Mytilus edulis: one gene and its partners. The protein of the gene in region 1 binds, or shares a complex with, the protein of each later gene. Links are inferred from orthologs where the notes say so. Each region holds a gene or a part of one and is shown in the gene's direction. Other genes may lie near its edges.

The links.
Region 2: transcription initiation factor TFIID subunit 5-like (region 1) and transcription initiation factor TFIID subunit 8-like share a complex: the UniProt entries of both Homo sapiens proteins name them as parts of the TFIID basal transcription factor complex. The link is inferred for Mytilus edulis from reciprocal best matches to the Homo sapiens genes TAF5 and TAF8.
Region 3: transcription initiation factor TFIID subunit 5-like (region 1) and transcription initiation factor TFIID subunit 6-like share a complex: the UniProt entries of both Homo sapiens proteins name them as parts of the TFIID basal transcription factor complex. The link is inferred for Mytilus edulis from reciprocal best matches to the Homo sapiens genes TAF5 and TAF6.

The regions. Positions count from the first base shown.
Region 1 is NC_092357.1:14,766,141-14,773,074, reverse strand, and holds the start of transcription initiation factor TFIID subunit 5-like, read left to right. Parts: upstream 1-3,895; 5' UTR 3,896-3,974; coding exon 3,975-4,073; intron 4,074-6,858; coding exon 6,859-6,934. UniProt on the Homo sapiens protein: The TFIID basal transcription factor complex plays a major role in the initiation of RNA polymerase II (Pol II)-dependent transcription.
Region 2 is NC_092350.1:20,035,807-20,043,824, reverse strand, and holds the start of transcription initiation factor TFIID subunit 8-like, read left to right. Parts: upstream 1-5,006; 5' UTR 5,007-5,121; coding exon 5,122-5,260; intron 5,261-5,998; coding exon 5,999-6,097; intron 6,098-6,991; coding exon 6,992-7,054; intron 7,055-8,018. UniProt on the Homo sapiens protein: The TFIID basal transcription factor complex plays a major role in the initiation of RNA polymerase II (Pol II)-dependent transcription.
Region 3 is NC_092352.1:41,339,444-41,346,470, forward strand, and holds the start of transcription initiation factor TFIID subunit 6-like, read left to right. Parts: upstream 1-4,005; 5' UTR 4,006-4,166; intron 4,167-7,027. UniProt on the Homo sapiens protein: The TFIID basal transcription factor complex plays a major role in the initiation of RNA polymerase II (Pol II)-dependent transcription.

The DNA.
Region 1 (6,934 bases):
ATCGTTTTCATCATCATCATCATCAATAGGAGTTCTCAACTGAACACATGGTTGCAATACCTTGGTCTATAGCTGAACACATCAATTGGAGTCTTAAAAATAAACGATGGCAACGTCTACTTAGACCTGAAAGTAAACAAATGTACATGTAGTTGATTAAACCATTAACCCTAATAACGTTAAAACTTATGGATATCTTGCGTTCAATGACAAAACAGAATGCAATTGTGTAGAGTATAATAGTGTTTCATATTTTCAATCACGTTCAGTCTTCATTTCAATTACTTTAAACGTCTAAGACTACAAATCAAGAAACTTGGGGGTTGGAACAGGCAAAATGATGTTTTGAGATTTTTCAGGAATGTATTGTACTATTCTGATGCAGTCTGCACCAAAAACTTTTTCAACTACTAGTCCGAAGACCAATATTCCGACATTTTTCTTATTGGTCCAAACAAAGTTTTGCAAAAACTTACTAGTCTGAAAGAAACTTTACTAGTCTGGGGCATCGGATTAGTGGCTAACCGTGCAGACTGCAGTGATGAACCACTCGTCACATGATTGGGAGCATGTTTAAACCTGCCTTATTCTGCAAGTGCCTATGCAAAGTCAGGAGCCTATTATTTAGTGGTCCTCGTTTGTTGCGGTTACATATTTCATTTTCATTCATTATTTTTTACATAAATTGGGCCGTCAGTTTTATCTCATTTACATTAGTTATTTCGGGACCTTTTATAGTCGACTGTGATATGGGCTTAGCTCATTGTTGAAAGTCTGATGGTGACCATTGTTATTAAATTCTGTCATCTGGTCTGTTATGACGAATTGTTGTATCATTTTGTTCTCGTTCTTCACAGGACAAATGAATATATAACAAATGAAGGAAATGACACAAAATTGGCTGGATTTGCAGCTACTTCACTACTGAACCAAGTAGGTTTATAACGAAAGTGAATGTTGAAAATCTGTTCACTTGTTTGACAAGTTATGTTATCCACGTTCCATTGATATACACCTTTTCACTACATTCCCATCTGAAGTGTGTTGGCTTTGTTCACACAAAATATCGTGCCTCAAACTTTTCATTCAGAGGCATCATTTAACCGTTGTTTACCCTAACAAAACATTTTTATGGACTTAATTCATCTATTGACAAAATTTCATCCATGTAACAATAATGCCAAACTCGCACTATCATTTTCTGTTACTGATCAGATGACAGTGAAATTAAGGTCAAAACTAATTTGACATTAAAATCATATATTAATCATGTCATATGGTAGATGTGTAACCTCAGAAAAAACTACCTTGACCAAAAAATTGAGCAGGACGGACAGACAGATTCACAAACCGAACAAGTTAATGGTCCTAGGTTGGGCTTAAAATTCGTTCTTTTAACTAGCAAAATTTCAAATGGCCACTCTTTTCTCAGCTCATTGATGATGACTTTAGTTTTGTTCAACCATCTCATCAGCAATTTGTCTTGGTAACAATTCCCCCTGGAAAAGACTAATTAGCGAAAAGGTGTATTGATCTTTTGGAAATGGTCCAGATAGTTCACAGTGCATTTCTTTAGACAATATAGGAGAGAGGAGAAAAAAAATACCACCTGCACTTTCTCAATATAATTTATTTAGTTTGTACTACTACTTTTAAGACAAATTATATCAAAATTATAGAAATAGGCTCCAAACTGAAATATTGACAGCTTCTCAAGTTCTAATTTATAACCTTTTTCAGCAGGACCAAATTAAATCACTACTTATACAAGCTAATATAATTACCTTGCCCTCATCTTCCTCCTTTTACGCTTCAACCTCCTCATACGCTTCTTACGCCACTGAAAAAGAGAAGTCCAATGTAAACTTGATATAAAATTTTACCACTCATAACGAGATTCAATATGGCTGAACAAATTAGACGGAGGTTTACAAATGTAAATAGGATAATGTTAAGGAAATAAATACTCAAACATACATAGGTACATCATATCCTAGAAAAAATATGAAACGAAACAAACTATATCGTTGAAGGCCATTGGGCGACCCATAGTTAATAATTGCTATGTCATTTTGAATCCGGGTCCGTTTGCCCTGATTCATGTTCGCCCTAGTACCTGTTCGCCCTGATTATTATTTTTTTCTAATTGTTGTCTTGTCGCATTATTTTAAGTATTTGAACAAAATATGTTAAAGTTTGTTGAAAAATTGACAGAATATTAATATTGCCGCAATCAATTTATCATTTTCCCTTTGATTTGCAGAGTAGAATACTGGAATACAATGTATTTATCTTTATTGATATTTGTTAACAAAATCATTGTAATCAGTCAATCACGAAAGTATGCAGTATAAATTATTGTCATAATGAACTTGTAAATCCGTTTCATAATTTACAGTTCGTACATCATTGGTTTTATTAATTTCAAGCTGAATATTTTATTAAAATAAAACGTTTGTTTTTATTATTAATCCATCAAAAGACAAGTTTCACAATAATCAGTTATCCGAATTATTTTGTCATTGAACAATTAAAGATCATAAACAAACCATAAACTTTTAAATATTTCAATGTTTCCATAAATTTCAAGAATATACATGATATATATATACCATAGAAATATCTGAATAAGTTTATTCAACTTAAACTAAACTATACTAAATTTTAGCCCTGAATATTTTATTAATATTTTTATAGTAGGGCGAACGGACTCTGGGCGAACGAACCTAGGGCCAACATGTTATTAGGGCGAACGGTCCCGATACCTGTCATTTTGGTCTTTTGTGGAGAGTTTTCTCATTGGCATGGATTATTAACAAATTTTTGGAAAATAAGTGAAATTCCAAACGTTTCGAAGGGGAAAAATCTGTAGCTCTCATAGTAAATATATAACATTCAGACCTTTGGCTACATGTAAGGTTCCGAGGCCAATATGAAAGATGCTGGGTTTGGGAAGTTTTTTGGTACTTGCCACTCAAAATTGGTTCAGCAATAAGGTGGAAATCCAGTTACTTTTGAAACACGTGAAACAATTCAACTTTGAAAATTATATGGCTTTCTTTGAAAAGTTTTGGGGGAGGGGGTAGTCATAAATGCGCACTAAACGATGGTTCGTTGATTATGACCATTACCTGGCAGAAAAGGGGGGTCAATTTCTGGAATTGCTAGGCTATCTTAGTATTCAATTTAAGCACACGCATTGTAAATATGAATAATAAATATAATAGATATTGTTGAACAATTGGTTACTACAAGACACGAGATGTGTTGACAGACACCCACGGACTTCGGCTTCGCATGCTGCACCAGCAGTCCACATGGTCCAAGTTTTACGTTCAAAGACCTCAAATTAAAATTTATACATCACGAACAGTTTTGCCACATATCATTAGAACTCTGATATGCAGTATGTTGCAATTCACTAAGTGTCACAAATGAACTTTCTCCCCGCAACAAACAACATTCATCAATGGTCGGACGTAAATGCGTGTTATCCGACATGTTTATGTGCAAGACTAATTCGATAAAAAATATTAAGTTACATGCTTACCTTTGCTCTCATCTTGCTATATTATCTGAAAGAGATGAAAATACAACTGTAGAATAACAAATTAACAGAAGATGACAAAAAGTTAGAGTGATTCAAATGGATTTGTTTTTCGAAAATTTCATACGACCTACCAGCAACACGAAAGCGGAAGAAAGGACATAGCCTATGTTCAAAATGGGTTATTTAGCATTAGGAATAATCTATAAAATAAACATATAAATGATATCAATCACATGCAAATTCGAAACAATAAATATTTTTCTGAAATATAATATGCATCTACTTTTAGTTTATTTATTTGTTCATTTTATTTTTATAGAAAATTTAAAGACTATTGACTGGTACCTTCCAATCCTATACCTATCTTCCCTATGGTGTGTGAAGATGCGGACGGTTAACAGATTAAGCGAAAACCACTTTTAAAATGAATAGTTTACAGTCACAGTCTTCTCCTAAATCAGATGTTTCAGACAAACAGACACTATTAGCTGTTTTACAATTTCTAAAGAAAAACAACTTAAAGGTCGACCAATCTATATATCTTGATCAACTTCGTATATAATTAATTATGCCCGCTATTTCGCCCCTGTTAGTGGTAACTTGAAAATACTCTGAAGTCAGTTTCCCAAACCAATAGCCTAAATAGTCAATACAGGTCTAAACTAACAGTACATTACCTTTTATCCTAACTGAACTAAAACTTTTATTTTAAACAAACCACAACAAAAAAGATGAGCCATAGGCCTAAAGTATTGTGTAGTCAACTGTTCTCGTAGTAATCATTTCTCGATAGCAATGTGCATGGTTAAAATAAAAGTAGTACGCGAAATCGCTCATGTTTTCTATATTTGTTGGTATTTCAAGGACAGAATAAAACTTGCTTCAAGCAAGCATTAAATTCAACATTTCAAGTTTTCAGACATTTTACAACAAACAGGCTATTAATATTATTTGAACTTGGAATTATTTTTAATTATGGAATTTGCTTGATTTCGTGTTATTGAAATTTTTAATAAATTCCATGTTTAGTCTGTACTGAAATGTTCTGTGCTGCGCACAACACTTTCTATTTAACAAAGAAAATAGTATATTTTTAATAGAATGTACTGTGCTGCGCACAACACCATTGTATGGAAAGTGTTATCAAGGATTTGTATAGTACTATACAAATCCTTGGTGTTATTAACCGCTCAAAAGATCATAATACCAAATAAACATGGAATTTATAAAAAAATTTAAACACAAGAAATTATGCAAATTCCATAATTAAAAATAATTCCAAGTTCAAATAATAGCCTGTTTACAGTAAAAATAATATTTTCTGATTTTAGCCTACTTTTCCTTATTCCCTCAGTTCATAAATAGCATGTTTTCAAATGTAAACAAAACTTAGCTCGAAAAGAAGGTCAAGTCCACATACATACATGTAATACACAATTGTAAGATCAGGGATGATTCCACTATATAGTTCAGGGCCGCTGAGCGGCCCTTAAATTGGCCAGCGGCCCCCAAAAAATGTACATGAAAATGAATTCCCAATTCAGGAAAATAAAATAAAATCGATATTTCAGGAAAAGTTTCTGTCACCGATTAAGGCAACTATAATTTTTCATAGTTTGTTGTCAAAACGTTTTAAAATCCAGATAAGAATGCTGTTTACGGTCGCATCTTAGTAACAACGATTCAATTATGTCAACATGTGGGAAACAATTTAAACAGCCGAATACAATTAATTGATATGTTATGGTAGTATTGGATCTTGTAAAAGCAGATCGGCCAGCAGGTTGATAAAAATGGGTGTCAAAGCAGACCTCGGCAGAGAGCAAATTCAAATATAACATTGATGGATAAGGTTTAATGGACGCCGATCTCGTAAAAGCAGATTGCCCAGCAGAGCCAGTTATATAATATGATGAACACTTGTTTTGTAAAAGAAATTATTTCCTCAAAAGACAAAAGTTTGAGCGTTTTTTGAAAATAATGTTGATGATAGACCATTCATGAAATACGATGTCATCATTATTGAACTATTTCAAAAGTTTTGAAGATGATCCAAATAATTTTAAAGAACACTGGTTCAATGCTTTAGATATCTTATCAATCAAGTATATGAACCTTTGTAAAATTTTTGCTTTTCTGAATTCGACAATTGACCAGTTCAATTTGAAATCCATTTGAATTCAGGTAAATTTATAGAGATGACCTGCTGTTGAAAAAATACCTGATGAATGATTTTTTTCAATGGTTAATGTTAGCTGAAATATATGTTTTTATAATAGGCCTAAGTAACTATAGCTAAGATGATAGACTAGTGCATCATGTTCAATGATATTCATGTAATAACAGTAGCCCATCCAGAATTATTCAAAATGTTACAACTTACATGAACATCAGTGTACAGACATGACAGGTTAAACTTAATAATATACATTTTCCGTTTTTCAGAAAAATAATGTTATTTCGTCTTAGATTTTATGCTTAAAAAATTCCCAATTAGAATAAAAATTCCCAATTTGATGTTCAAGGGACCCATTTGAAAACACCTGGAATCATCCCTGAAGATATGGTGTGATGTCGCTATGACAATCTTAATATCTTTGTTTTGTTTATATTAGACCAGTTTATTGTTTACATGAATTAATAAGTTAAAATTAGAATAATATTAGTTTAAACATATTTATTTATAGGATTGGGAAACAAGTTATGGTAACTTATATTAATCCCTTTCCACTTTGCGGGTGCGAGTGCTGCCTTGTAGAGTATTAATTCCTGGTTCAAAACATTTGTGTAAACATTCCATGTAAATCAAAATTTTATTCATTGTCCATACATTGCAAACAAATAAACACAAGCTCTGGTAAGCTTTTAAAATTGACATTATAATACATTACACAGAAACAAAATGACATGCATTTAATAAATCACTTATTTTAGCATGTGTTCATTAATTATCCTGAATGTTGGAAGTTTGCTTTGAAGAAAGGTTTCTGAAAGATTTCTGAAAATTTCAAAATTTTTTGATCAGGGCATATATTGTACTAGTTGCGGAACCATAGCTCTTAGGTCCTTATGCTATTTTTTGACTATTTGGGGACCGTAGCTAATACTGTAGGTCATGTGAACCTTCAGTCCAAAGGTCAATATTAGGTTTTTACTGGTCTACCAGTCTGCATCGTTATCAAATAGTTCAATTTCCAAGACTAGTAAAACATTACAAACATTTACTATTGTAAGTGGTAAAAACCCTATATAAAAATAAGGAGATGTTGAACTGAGTTGTGCAAAGTTGTTCACTTTTATTGTTGTAGTGTACAGAAGAGTTGTTAAAGAAAGAGGCTGGGGTCACAGATGATGATGTTAAACCACAAAGCGCTGGCCAAAGTG
Region 2 (8,018 bases), on another chromosome or scaffold:
ATTGCTATCCCATATGAAGTATTTGATTTTTGTAAATAATTAGCACAGATCTGGAAAACACTTTTTTTTCACAAATGTCAGTTTATTTTTGGTAACTACAGTACAATACTCCCATGGGAGGATTGCATTATTTATAAAGAAAGAAAAACTACAACCTTGACCTCAAATTGAAACTTTTATTCCGGTACCACGATTTCCCGAGAAATACAAGAACTTTTATAATATCCCCAAAACAAACTGATATATCCCGATAAAAAGATTTGTTATGGTGTTATGCTACTTTTAATGGTGTTACTGTTTACTACTTTTAACAATATCAAAGAATATTAATTAAAGATATTTCTCGTTTTTCTCAATAAAAGTGCAATTATGTACACTTCAAGAATTCGATGTGTATGATACACATCGAATTCTTGAAGTGTACATAATTGCACTTTTATTACTATGCCTTGTATAAAAACTATAACTTCTGCCATATTGTTTTCAACAAGGAGTTTGCATACAAGATATACAAATCGTTTTTCTGAAGATTGTGCATACTTTTATTAATTATGAACGCCTTAATCCTTATAATTGTATGCTGTTACACTAATTTAACACAGTATAACACCATGAAAATCTTGTTATTGGGATATATCAGTTTGTTTTGGGGATATTACGTTGTACTTGTATTTCTTGGGGAAATGGTGGTACCCCTTTTATTCTGGATTTTTTTTTTCTATTTTTAAACAATAACCTTGACCTTTGACATGGTGACCTAAAAGTCATTAGAGTCAATAGAGATGTACCTCTCATTATAGAGACTGTTCATTAATGATTAATTACAATCTCAATCTGATATCAAATATTTCTGTAAGCATCTTGAAAAGAAAATTACTTGCAGATTGACAAGTAAAAAAACTATCTCCACTGCCAAATTCCCTCCTAATTTCATAGTATGGGTAATTTGAAACAGCCATTGGAGACATGGATGATGATGATTTGGTAGTGATGGATTCAGGGGGATTTAAAAAAAAAATGGGGTTGGGTTCTGGGTGGTTCCCCCCTTTTATTTCGAACGATCAAGGCATTTGAATGGCTATATACACCCTATAAAAACTTAATGTAAAGAGTGGGAAAATGTAAAAAATAAATTAGGTTATTGTAACAAGGATTTGTATAGTAAGATCCTTGGTAATAAGAATCAGTTATTTTATTAGTACATTTGCATATCTATCCTCCATCCTCCAATTTAGGAGGGTGTGCCCTGTGTCTTACATGAGGCACATTGGCCATTGCAGCTCAAACAAAGTTACATTTCCAAATAATAATCAATGTTTCTATCAATTACTTTTAAACAATCAATGAGAGACAAATCAATGAACAGTTATCATTGTGTGATATTTCTAATGTGCTAGTAAAACATTGTTTGCATTATGCAATGTCAATAGAACTAAGGTTATAGGATATACCCGCAATTACAGTGGTGAGAGGTGCTCCGTGTCCCAGTTTGAAACTTTATATTTATTGTTTCATTTAAATTGCAAACCTGAGAGGTAACCTTTTCCATATTCAGCTGTCTTAAATGTATAAATTTCGATGGCAAGCGTGTTTTCAGCAATATAACCTCTGGCAAAAATGTCACCGCCGCAACACCATCAAAAAGAAGTGTTAAAACCTTTCCCACAGTCCTGAGTAATATACAATTTATGTCGGACGATCCCGGACGTTTTCGAATTCTCAGTTTTTTCTGTAATGTTCTGTCCTGTCTGTGGCAGGGCAGAAGAGCGACATGTATTTATGGAACTTCAACTAAATTTGAAAAAAATATGTATTTTCTATCTTCTTCTTCCTGGTATAAGCCTCCTTTAATTAGGAGCTTTTTTAAATGATAAAACAAAATTTCCAACATATGTACAGCACATATAAATAAACAATAAACAATAGAAATGTCATGCAAGGCATATTTTCATGGACCTTTTTATTGCAAACTATTCTACCATACAAGTATATTCACTTAAGTATGTGACTTAGTTTTATTTATATTTAAAATTATGTTTCATTTGAATTTGCTTTTTAATATGCATAAAATGTACATTAAAAGGAGGTTTCATTTAATAAGATCTATGTATTAAAATAATAATAGGTTGTTTGCTTCAATATAATCAAATGACATTCTGATGTAACAGGAATCCAATGTTGATTTCAGATTCATTATGTTTAATGTATAATAAGTATATGAGATTACTAAAAATAAATAGAGGTAAAATATTACAAAGTGCATTTACTGCAGATCAAGAATTATCTAATGAAAACTTAAAATGATATTTAAAGTACTTAACTAAACTTGATACAAAAAAAACAACATTTTAAATAGTGATAAGATACTTTAGGCAGCAAGCTGACATACAACTACAAAATATCAAATCTGGAGCTGTGGACAGTAAACTGGTGCTTTTCAGTAATATTTTTGTTCCAAATTTTGTTCCCTACTATCTTTAAACCAATCTTACAAAAAATATGAAAAGACTAGTAAAATTATACAACTACGTATCAGTGCTCATTGTTTAAATATAGAACGGGGTAGATATAATAAACCCCAAATTCCAAGAGAACAGCGTTTTTGCAAATTTTGCACTAAAGTAGAGACTAAAGCACATTTTTTGATATCTTGTGATAAATATAAAGATATAAGGCAAACTATTTTCCAATCTTATGGTTTAGATTTAAAAGATTTGTGTAATGAATATTTTTTAGTTTCTAAACTTTTAAATACCGAATGCGTTAGAAATAAGAAACAATTTTTAAAAATATGGTTACAATTATATTATTATATATATATTACATGTGACACTTTGAAATGTTGTTTTGTAATATTTATAGTTATCTTAATAATAAAGAAGATAACTGACATATATATTTACATTTCATGATTTGGTAAAAAAAACCGCTCAGACTATATATTATAAAGCAAAAATTCTCTAAAACTGACATTATCAAGATGTTTAGTGTTTGTTGGTTGGCTACATATTTGTTACTTTAGGCGGACGCTTTCGAGATGTTTCGGCCACACTTCTAGTTCGTCCACATGTCGTTTCGGCCACCAATCAGTTCAGCCACAGTAGTTTTGGTCACATTCTAAGTTCGGACATTCGTTTTAATGAAATTCATATTGTTCTTATGCATTGATTGGTTTGGCAGAAGTTGGGTTTGAAAGGAATTTTTCTTACCAAAAAGTATTTTTGTACAAAATCGGATAAAAAAAATGCAAATAAAAATGATATATTAGAAAAAAAAATGGATCATGAATAAATGTCAAGGACGTAAAGTCATATGCTTAAGTATTATCTAGGGGAAGCCTATATATATATAACTATCATATTATCATATCAATTAATATCAACATTTTACATACCAGACAAGAGATTATATGTATTACAATTAAGTGGTGAGATTCTTATAAAACATTGAATCTGAATGTAATGTTCTGCTACTATTTCAGGTTAATTAGGGTGAAAGTTGGCACCAGTTAAAACGTTTAAACCTGTTGTATTTGTTTGCACCTGTCATAAGTCAGGAACCTGTAGTGGTGGTCGTTTGTTAATGTAGTTCATAAGTGTTTCTCGTTTCTCGTTATTTATACAGATTAGACTATTGGTTTTCCTGTTTGAATTGTTTTGCAATAGTCATTTTGGTGTCCTTTATTGCTTGCTGTTCGGTATGAGCAAAGTCTCTGTGTTGAAGGCCATTCTTTGACCTTTAAGTGTTTAATTTTAACAAATTATGACTTGAATGGAGAGTTGCCTCTTTTGAACTCATACCACATCTTCTTATGATTATCAAAAGTCCATTACTCTAGTATCCAGCTCTACATCGTAGCTTAATTTTCTTCCTTTTTATTTCCGGCTTTCTGCTCTAGCTGCTTTTTATACATTATTTTATACGGATCATTGAGCTGCTATAAAAAGCCAATTTATATGTTTATGCTTTTTAGTTTGTTAGTCATTGCTGGTTCTCACCCATGCAATGCATATGAAGGTGTTTGCAGCCGTGATGAGCACCATCATGAAGTGACCCTGGACGTCCAGAAATCACTTTTTTTTTTAAATTATTTTATTACATTCACATAGGCTACTTTTTTTAAAAATCTTATTTCTTAGTACCTGAATGGAGGCTGAGCAGTGTGATTTTTATATGATAGTATGAAAATTTTTCTCTGTTATGGTGAACATATATGCCGACTTTAAATTCTTTATTCCCAAACAAACAAAAACAATTTTGGTAATAGCAATACAGATACAAAACAAACATAATAAAAACTCAGCAATAATAATATACATGTTAAATATAAAAAAAACAAAGCCCATACCGCATAGTCAGCTATAAAAGGCCCAGAAATTATTGGTCTCATTTCCTCCGCAGTGTATTGCAATTTACATATTTTTCAATACATTTTTAAAGGTTTTTCTATTATTTAAATTAAGTTTACAGTTAAAGAAAAGGTGGAATTCATCAACTAAGATGTGACATATTTTACATTTTCTTTCATGTCTTGGTATTTTTGTATATCGTCCAGTTTCTGATTAAAAACCAATGATCACTTATTCTAAATGTAGTTCACATTTTTACTTGTTTCTTTTTTGGTGAGTAAGGTTGTGACTATTATTCCATTTGATTATTATATATATGAGATCATCCTTGATGAGATTTACGAATTTTCTTTAGATACATTTAATGACTTTCATTCCGCTGGTGTTGTTTATTCATTATTAGCCGGAGAGTTTGATAATAATTAATATACCTTTTTTTTTAATTAGGATTTTAACTTTTTCGTCTGTTTTTGTGACAATTTTTTAAAAGTTTATCACGAGTATGTTCCTTCAGTATCTGTTTTTTTTGGGTTTTTTTTTTATAGCTGGGTTAGATAACATTTAGGGACCTACTTTCTTATTTGGTACGTGACTAGTCGATTCATTAAACAAACTAATTTCGGTTAATACCTGTTTTCATTCGGAATGAGACCTGAATACCTCTAGACTTTACCTCAGGAAACAAACATGGAAGTCAAAGTGACAACAAAAGCCCATTTATTGTTGAAAACGATCAAATAATGGAGTAATTTACATACTAACCACAGCAAAAATGGCATCCGAAAATGACCAACATGCTGTTTCATCGCGGAAAGCATTAAAAGTGGCAGTTAGTGCACTGTGTTTAGAAGTAGGGTTCCAGACAGCTGAAGAGTCAGTCATTGAAACATTGACTGAAATGCTGGAAAGTTGTAAGTTGTAAAAACTGTATGCCATTTCAATGCTTTATAGAAACTAACTGAAACAACTCCAAAAGCCTTAGGCCTTTGAAGGAACAATAGCAGCAGGGAGCATGATACTGGTAAATACACCTTATGTCAAATTATGACAATTTGTCAGACATTAGTAATGAGGGGGGATAGGACCTTTATCGGGACTCCGGGATTGGGTGTTTTTGAGCTCGGGATTTCGGGATCCGGGAATTCTTCTTTTCGATTTTCGGGACCTCATGATTTAGTGATTTTAAGCCGGGATTGCGGGATCTGATGTTTTTAAGCCCGGAATTTCAGAATCAGGACCAGTCCTACCACCCCTCAGTAATTACTGGACATCACAAAGGTTCCCGTAAAATTTTGACGTCACAATAGAAAATGTTTGACTCCACAATGGAAAAATGATTGTTGTTGGATGTCAAAAGTTCAACCGGCGTATCTTTAAATATGACTTTTTTCTTTTTTTTTTACCCTGTTAAATATATACTTTTAAATACTAAAAGTCTTTGTTGTATATCCAAGATCTTGTGCTGTGCTTTTTAGTGTGAATGTCAATCTGATCAGTCAAGAACCTTACCTGGGCCATTGGTGTATTACCTATGAACATTATTTGTATTTGGATAATATTTTTATTAACACCTAACATAAATAAAATTACTTAAATACTATTAGAGAATACCATGATATTTTTAGGAACTCCTTTATTTTTACTTAAAGTTTTAATGGAGCTTGGCAGGAGTACACAGGCCTTTGCAGAATTAGCTGGCAGAACAGAAGGAATCATGACAGATGTTATAATGGCTTTGATTGAAATGGGTTTGTATTATATATTATGTATGATACATGGTTATACATATATAGATATAGGAAGATGTGGCATGAGTGCCAATGAGACAACTCTCCATCCAAGTAACAATTTATAAAAGTAAACCATTATAGGTCAAAGTCTGACCTTCAACACAGAGCTTTGTCTCACACTGAACAGCAAGCTACAAATGTATAAAGCGCCCCAAAAATTACTAATGTAAAACCATTCAAACGTGAAAACCAATGGTCTAATCTATGTATAAAAAAAATTGTTATACCCCTTGCAAAGTTTGGGGGTACATGTATATAGGAACCATGCTGTCTGTTTGTCCATACCAACTTCACTATTCTTTATTTGATTTATTTCAAACTTTGTAGATTAATTGATCAGGATATGCAAGCATCACCATTTGAAGGATTTTTCATTATGTTTAGAATATCCATGACTATGTCCCTTTCATCACAGAAATGTTTACCCTTTTTAGAAATTATCCTGTCCTCCTTCATGGTTTGTCATATCTACATGAAATCTAAAATTGAGAATGGAAATGGGGAAATCGGGCAAAGAGTGTGTCAAAGAGACAACAACCCGACCATAGAGAAGGCAACAGCAGAAGGTCACCAACAGGTCTTCAATACAGCGAGAAATTCCCGCGCCCGGAGGCGTCCTTCAGCTGGCCCCTAAACAAATATATATACTAGTACAGTGATAATGAACGCCATACTAAACTCCAAATTGTACACAAGAAACTAAAATTAAAAATAATACAAGACTAACAAAGGCCAGAGGCTCCTGCCTGGGACAGGCACAAAAATGCTGCGGATTTTGTTGAAAAAATACCCATACAAAAGAGATAAATATAAATTTTTTATCCATGTATAAATTTATGTTTGCATTTTTAGGTCAAAATATTCATGCATTACCAGGGCATGCAAAAAGACCAAATAAAACAGTATTTCTCCCACGTAAGTTTTTCAAGACAGACATGTTTTACACAATTGCATATCATGTTTATTTCACAAAATAGTCCAAGTGTTTGATAAAACAAGAGTAATAAATTACACAAAAAATGCCATATCTTAGTGAAAAAATCTCAAGGCTACAAATATTTTTCTAAATGTTCCTTGAAATTTCAAATTAAATGTTTGATTTCAATAAAATTGGTACTAGTTTCTTACCCACTATTCTCTCTTTTTGGTATAATATTTTCAAATATAGCAAATTTTACAATTTAAAATGGAGGAAGTTTGTTATTTGCATAATTCAACCTGAAAATTTATGAAAAATGTATTCAAATTGAAAAAACTTTTTATGGATAGTCAATTTCAGTATCTTAAAAATCTTGATTGTTGTCAATTGCAGAGTTGATATTGGCATTATTTTTACTTTAAATATTGTTGTAAAATTGACATGGATTTTTCTTTAGCATTGATCTTAAAACTTTAAAATATGTACATGTATATGCAGTGGTCTCGCTAGCCCAAAATAGAAGGGCGCCGCGCCCTGGGTGCCCTCAGCCGCGCCCTGGGTGCCTTCATCCGCGCCCTTCTGCCCTGACGTCTTTTTCCAAAATTATCTTGTGCCGTTTTGGTAAAATTTTGTTTCATCGATTACTGATCTCCAAGTTAATTACATATATGACACCTGTGTGATTGCCCCCAGGTTAATCATGTCATTACAATCAATTACAATGATAAAGACTTCAAAGGTGTTAATAACTAGGTAATTTAATTAGGACAATGTATCTTTTTGTCATACTTTTGATGAATGTGTAAGCGAGTGTGTTTAGCTTGGGTCAGCATTTTCGATCTCCAAGTCACAATGGAAGAGCGTATAAATGAAGACTTTCATGACTTTAGAATTGAATTTAAGTCATCAAAATAAAACTATGCCTTTACAGAAATGCCTTCCATCTCAACTTGTTAGCGA
Region 3 (7,027 bases), on another chromosome or scaffold:
AAACTAAAGAATAAACAACACGAACCCCACCAAAAACTAGGGGTGATCTCAGGTGCTTCGGAAGGGTAAGCAGATCCTGCTCCACATGTGGCACCCGTGAGGGTTTCTTATCGTCGAGTTGCAAGTTGCGAGTTAAGAAAGTCGAGTTGCGAGTTAAGCAAGTCGAGTTTCGAGTTACAAAAGTCGAGTTGCGAGTTACGAAAGTCGAGTTGCGAGTTACGAAAGTCGAGTTGCGAGTTACGAAAGTCGAGTTGCGAGTTACAAAAGTCGAGTTGCGAGTTACAAAAGTCGAGTTGCGAGTTACAAAAGTCGAGTTGCGAGTTACGAAAGTCGAGTTGCGAGTTAGGAAAGTCGAGTTGAGAGTTACGAAAGTCGAGTTGCGAGTTACAAAAGTCGAGTTGCGAGTTACAAAAGTCGAGTTGCGAGTTAGGAAAGTCGAGTTGCGAGTTACAAAAGTCGAGTTGCGAGTTAAGAAAGTCGAGTTGCGAGTTAAGAAAGTCGAGTTGCGAGTTACAAAAGTCGAGATGCGAGTTACAAAAGTCGAGTTGCGAGTTAAGAAAGTCGAGTTGCGAGTTAAAAAAACATTGTTTACACCGAATTTTCAGGTTTGATTCACATTTGATAAACAAAACATGCATGCACCTGAACTTAGTTATTCCCGTGATTGTGGGATTTGAAACAGTTTATGTGATACTTATTTATTAGAGTCTAATATAAGTTAAGTTCTGGAAGCATTTAAAAAAAATAATGTATCCTTAAAATGGACAAGATCGATCTTATTTAATTCAATGCGTTTACACTACAACAAAAAAAAAGAACCGATCTGACCATAAATTACCTTTCGTAAACAAATAATCCTAAAAATAGAATAGTAAAGGAAATTCTGCATCTCGCGCAAACTATAACACATTGCAAAATCATTGAGAAAATAGTTTGCTCATTGGAATTTCGTATGGACTTATTAATCATTATTTTGGATCGTACATCACAAGTCATTAAACAAAGATATGTGTGTAAACTATATATCTATCGCTAAATAACGAACGGCCAATGCGATTGATTGTTGGTTGCTTTACGCCGCATTAGCACAAAAAGGCTATATCACGGCCAATGCGTTTGAAGATGAGGATTTGCAGCAAACAAATAGAACTTATTGATTTAGAAGATAATAAAAAAATAGCCGAATCTATGTTTACTTTTCGTATTCCATCCATCATTTTTAAACACGCCGAACATGCGCAGATTTATTTTCATATCTGAATATATATTAACATTCACCTGACAAAAGCGATCGATCTAAACATTTAAACCTTGAAAAAAGATCGATTCAAATAAGATTAATCTTTTTAAAACTACATGTACATCGATATATATATATATATAGACTTTTTAAATCCGATTGAAGATCGATATTTTCCGTTTTCATTATTACATCCATCGTTTTGAAAAACGTGTGTTTTTGCCGCCAAACATAGGTAGTAATTTCCATGCAATCGTGACAGATATGTATAATAAAAGTGAATTATGTGCGAAAATAGATAATGTGCTTACTTCTAATTTGTATTCCCAAATTGAAGTAAACGAAGGGGATATTTTGAATCCCAACCTTTTTAAGATTTTTATAAAAGAATTTAACCGGATGCATTAAATGAAACCCTAGATGCTGTTGATATAAATGACCGCAAAATTGAGTGCCTCATCTTGTTATTTTTTGTCTAGTTCCAAGGCAAGTCTTTCAAACACGAGTGTTTAGAGGTCACTCTATCTAAAACCAAAGTTAATATGTTTAACAAACCTGGAAAAATTTTAAAAGAATATTTGTATTGCGAAAAAGATATAATAGAATGTGTTTACAATTATAAGTATCTAGGTTTAAAATGTATATTGACTTTTTAAGAATGGAAAGGGAGAGCTATACAAAAAATCACTATAAGCAATATTCAAATTGCGAACTTCATCATCTTACAATCCAAGTAATTTTACTCTATAACATATATATATATATAGTGCAGGCGATTTGGTGTCACGATATCACAGTAGCATGGGTTCGAATCCCGGCGAGGGAAGAACCAAAAATTTGCGAAAGCAAATTTACAGATCTAACATTGTTGGGTTGATGTTTAATTTAATTAAGTTTAAAATAACTTATAATTGACAATATCAAACATGTGAACACGTCTATATAACTCAAGTTTAAACCTAAGTGACTCAGTTTAATAAGTTACCCAATACTTTCAGAGGCGGATTTAGGAGGGGGCGGGGCCAGGGGCCCCCTTTTTGGGGAAAAAAAGTGTTTTCTTATATAGGGAATCACTGAAGCGTCACTGGAGCGGGCCCCCTCTTAGGTCAGTCAGTGGGCCCCCACTTATGAAAATTTCTGGATCTGCCACTGACTTTAAAAAAATACGTATGAAATCATGATGTAGTAATAATCATTTTATACTTTCCAATTAAATCTTACCTGTAAATGGCGCAAATATAGTTTTTACAATAGTATCTTTGACAGCTACATTTATAAAATAAAGAATAAAAATGGGGAATGAGTCAAAAAGACAGCAACCAAATCAAAATATACAATTCAACCAAAGGTCATTAGGTCTACAAATTAACACAGCGAAAAATCACACATCTAGAGGGAGCCCTGAGCAGGCCCGAAACACAATATAGATAAATAAAGAATGTAGACGCCATTCTATGCTGCTAAATATAAAGATGAACCAAAATTAAAATGTATACAAGAGCAACAAAGGCTAAAGGTTCCTGAAATTGGTCAGACACAAAAAAGCGGCGTGTTTAAACTGGTTTTATTCACGCCCATCATATCCCCTTTATTTCTAGCCAATGCATAAGACATATATAATTTTAACATCCTCAATTTTGAGTGTCACTGACAAACAATAAATTTTGCGGTCCCTAACGAATATTGCCCGGCTCCGCAGCTGCCCCCAAAAGCCCACTTTATACGAAATCTGCAGAAGGGGTGTTTTACATATATGAAATATAGTTTAGTTGCTATGTCCCTTTACGTTTAATACGACGGTGCTATGTATGAAATTTAAAAATAATTAAAATGCAAGCCATCTGCTGTATTTCAAAAGGCTATCTGCTTCTTCAGAAAATACTAAACGTAGTGATTATCTAGTCCATTTTATTTTTACAAGAGACTCAGATAGAGTCCAAACCACAAAAATAATCAACAACACTATATACAATTCTATAAGAAATCATCATTCCGAAATGTTATCAGTTACCCCAAAAAATTGAAATATTTTAGTTTCCACATTTTTACGCAATTCGACTTTTGTAACTCGCAACTCGACTTTCTTAACTCGCAACTCGATTTTCTTAACTCGCAACTCAACTTTTGTAACTCGCAACTCGACTTTCGTAACTCGCAATTCGACTTTTGTAACTCGCAACTCGACTTTTGTAACTCGCAACTCGAATTTTGTAACTCGCAACTCGACTTTCGTAACTCGCAACTCGACTTTCTTAACTCGCAACTCGACTTTTGTAACTCGCAACTCGACTTTCGTTACTCGCAACTCGACTTTTGTAACTCGCAACTCGACTTTTGTAACTCGCAACTCGAATTTTGTAACTCGCAACTCGACTTTCGTAACTCGCAACTCGACTTTCTTAACTCGCAACTCGACTTTTGTAACTCGCAACTCGACTTTCTTAACTTGCAACTCGATTTTCTTAACTCGCAACTCGATTTTCCTAACTCGCAACTCGATACTCGACAACAAGTGAAACTCGGCACCCGTCGTGTTGCTTATAATGTTATAATACATGATTTCAAAATGTTTAAAGTTAATAACCATAGTTTCGTTCATCTGGCGATTTTATGTGACTGTGTTGTTAATCTTAACTATTTAAACCTTTTATTTCCTACTAATATTGCTCTCACATAATAGTTTTAAAACATTTAAAAAGCAAAAAAAAAAAAAAAATATTCAGGAATCCGGAACAAATTCCTCATTCCGAACTTGTTTATATATTAGTTTAATAACTCTGCTTCCGGTTGTTTCGAGCCGAAAAAGATTCAGCTACCTGTTTTGAATTATTTCCTTCTGGGGCTGTGTTTCGTGCAAATAATTTAAATGTTGCATTGATTTTGACACTTTGTTGAATGCTTTCAAGGACAGGCATGTGGACAGCAGGTACAGTTTTTCCTTCATAGCCATAACTCATTTGCTTGCATAAACACTAGAGTAGAGTAATTACCTCCCCTTTTGGCACTTTTTGAACAGAAATTTAATTGCAGTCTTAAACTTGATAGGCATAATTTAAAAACCGGGTTGATTATTTTTTCAACTAGTCCGAGATTACTCTGATGTCCAACGGCTGTTTTGCCAGACAAGCAGGGGCCGTGGGATGTCAGAGCTCGTCCCATATCAAAAAGTGGATATTTGCCCACCCAAAAAAGATGCGCTGCTTCGTCGCTTCTGATGCCGACTGACAGCCTTGGAATTATATAAATCGGGCGTCAATCTGTTCATTTTTCATTTATCTCTTCATTTATGTAAGTTTCACCTACCTGCCAACCTTGATTTTTCCATATTTTAACAGTTTTCACAGTGACCCATCGATTTCAGCATTTTGCCTTTCATTTTCGAAGATAATCACGTGACCACGAGAAAACAGTGATGATTTATGCAAATGACCATACTGTAACACCTCGTTCATTTACAATGCAAGTTATCTAAATGTCCGAGAGCTTCAGATTGTAACGTGGTCAGAACTACATAAACATGTAAATGCTTCATACCGATCTCCTGTAAAGGAGGTGAAAAAATATAAATATTTGCATATTTTGAGTCTCAAGACCACAAACTCTCTTGCCATTGGGTGCTATAAACAGTTTCGTATAAAAAACTAGGGGTTATTCCCCGACTAAAAATAACCATGGAGGGAAACCCCTGTTTATTTACTCAATTGGTGAAAAAGTATCATGTTTTTTGTATTTGATTGTAAAAATTAGTTAATTAGCTTTGAATTAAAACAGGTTGAATGATTGAAATAATTTTTGAAATTATATTAACTTTACATGTTTTGAGGGGAGACAACACTGTAAACAACCTGTTTTTTTGGCAGTGAAAATTGAAAACTTATTTGCAGCCACTGTAGCTCTTTTTGGAGCAGGAAACCGTACCCTGAAACAAGATTTTTTTGAAAGGCCAGGTAAAAACCTACAAATTTCATACAGTTTTGATTATGTAAAATGTGCATGGATCATGTCTTCATGGGTGTGCACATGACCTGGTTTCAAGTTTTTGTTGTTCAAATTAGACCTTTTTTCCCCCATGTTCATTGGATGGAATATTTTTTATATATTAAAAGTACACATTATTTTTATTTCATTATAAACTAGTGAACATTCTGATTCCAGTGATATCTAGTTTTATACAAGTATCTTTATTAATCAGTCCACCACTAAGGGTCACTTATGCATGGTCCCTCAAAATGTGACGTCATAGAAAAAAAAACTGTTGATTGCACCCATTTGAAAGTAAAAGTCAAAATGCCGAAATCGATGGGTCACTGTGAAAACTGTTAAAATATGGAAAAATAAAGGTTCGCAGGTAGGTGAAACTTACATAAATGAAGAGATTGACGCCCGATTTATATAATTCCAAGGCCATCAGTCGGCATCAGAAGCGACGAAGCAGCGCATCTATTTTGGGTGGGCAAATATCCACTTTTTGATATGGGACGAGCTCTGACGTCCCACGGCCCCAGCTTGTCTGGCAAAACAGCCGTTGGACGTCAGAGTAATCTCGGACTATTTTTCAACATAATTTTATTTTTCAAGGATTGATTTATTGAAAAACTAAAAGCAATCTGATTAGTGATTAAATCTGTAATTGTAAACTCCCAGGTTTATACATTTTATGTATACATGTACATAATGTTCTAATTATTTTTGTCCAAATAATTATGACGTCTCGGAAGGCTATTTTAATCTTCTGCTTTGACCCCTTTAAAAATAGTCAATATGAACATGATGGAAAGGTATCCACATCATACTGCATGATTACAATGTATCTGAACTTGTACAGGTCAAGAATAACTATTAATTTATATGACATGTATGAGTGATAAATTAGTGGCTTATACCTCAATTTAAGTATAATCCACTATTTGACGTACATGTACAATGGGATACACCAATACGAATACGAAAGTTTTATTTTGATTCGGTTCACATATAGCAATACATGTATTTTTGAAAGAGTTTTTTACCGAATATAAAATCATTAAAACACAAACATGCAGACAAGATATATAACAATGTTACACAGCCTGACAGGCATATTGAAATACTAGCAAAGATATAGGAAGATGTGGTGTGAGTGCCAAAGCACTACTAAAATACATATCTAAACAGTTGAGGTATAATGCATTTTTTAATTTTATCCAAAATAGATTTTAAGATATACATGTACATGTACAACTGCTGTTGTTTTTTTTGTTTTTTTCTATGGTCGGGTTGTTGTCTCTTTGGCACATTCCCCATTTCCATTCTCAGTTTTATACAATGTATATTGGAATTTGGAGCATCTTATTCGGTTACATATACCATAACAAGCTTTGATGACCACTTACTGACTTAGCTTCCTGCTAATGATCATGGTGTTGATCAAGAAACCAGAAAAGTAAAATTTTGTTGAACTGATGTATAGGGAGTTGATTATTAAATTTACTTTAATAGTATTAGTAAACTCAGTAAAAAAACACTATTGTCTAAAATCAAACAGGGATATGCCAATTTTGCAAAATACATTTTTTTACTAATAATGCCATAAGTCACACATGATTCGTTTTAAGATATAAGACCAAATAAAATAATATGTTTGGTCCAGTTACCAGTACATGTATATATCTTAAAAAAAGTAAGGGAAGGTACATGTAGGTAGGGATTTTTCTTTCTTTCTTTCTTTTTTTTTTTTTTTACACTGCTCAAGTCTATCATGTTTATGTGAGCAACATAATGTCTTTAACCATTGTTAAGGAGGCTCTC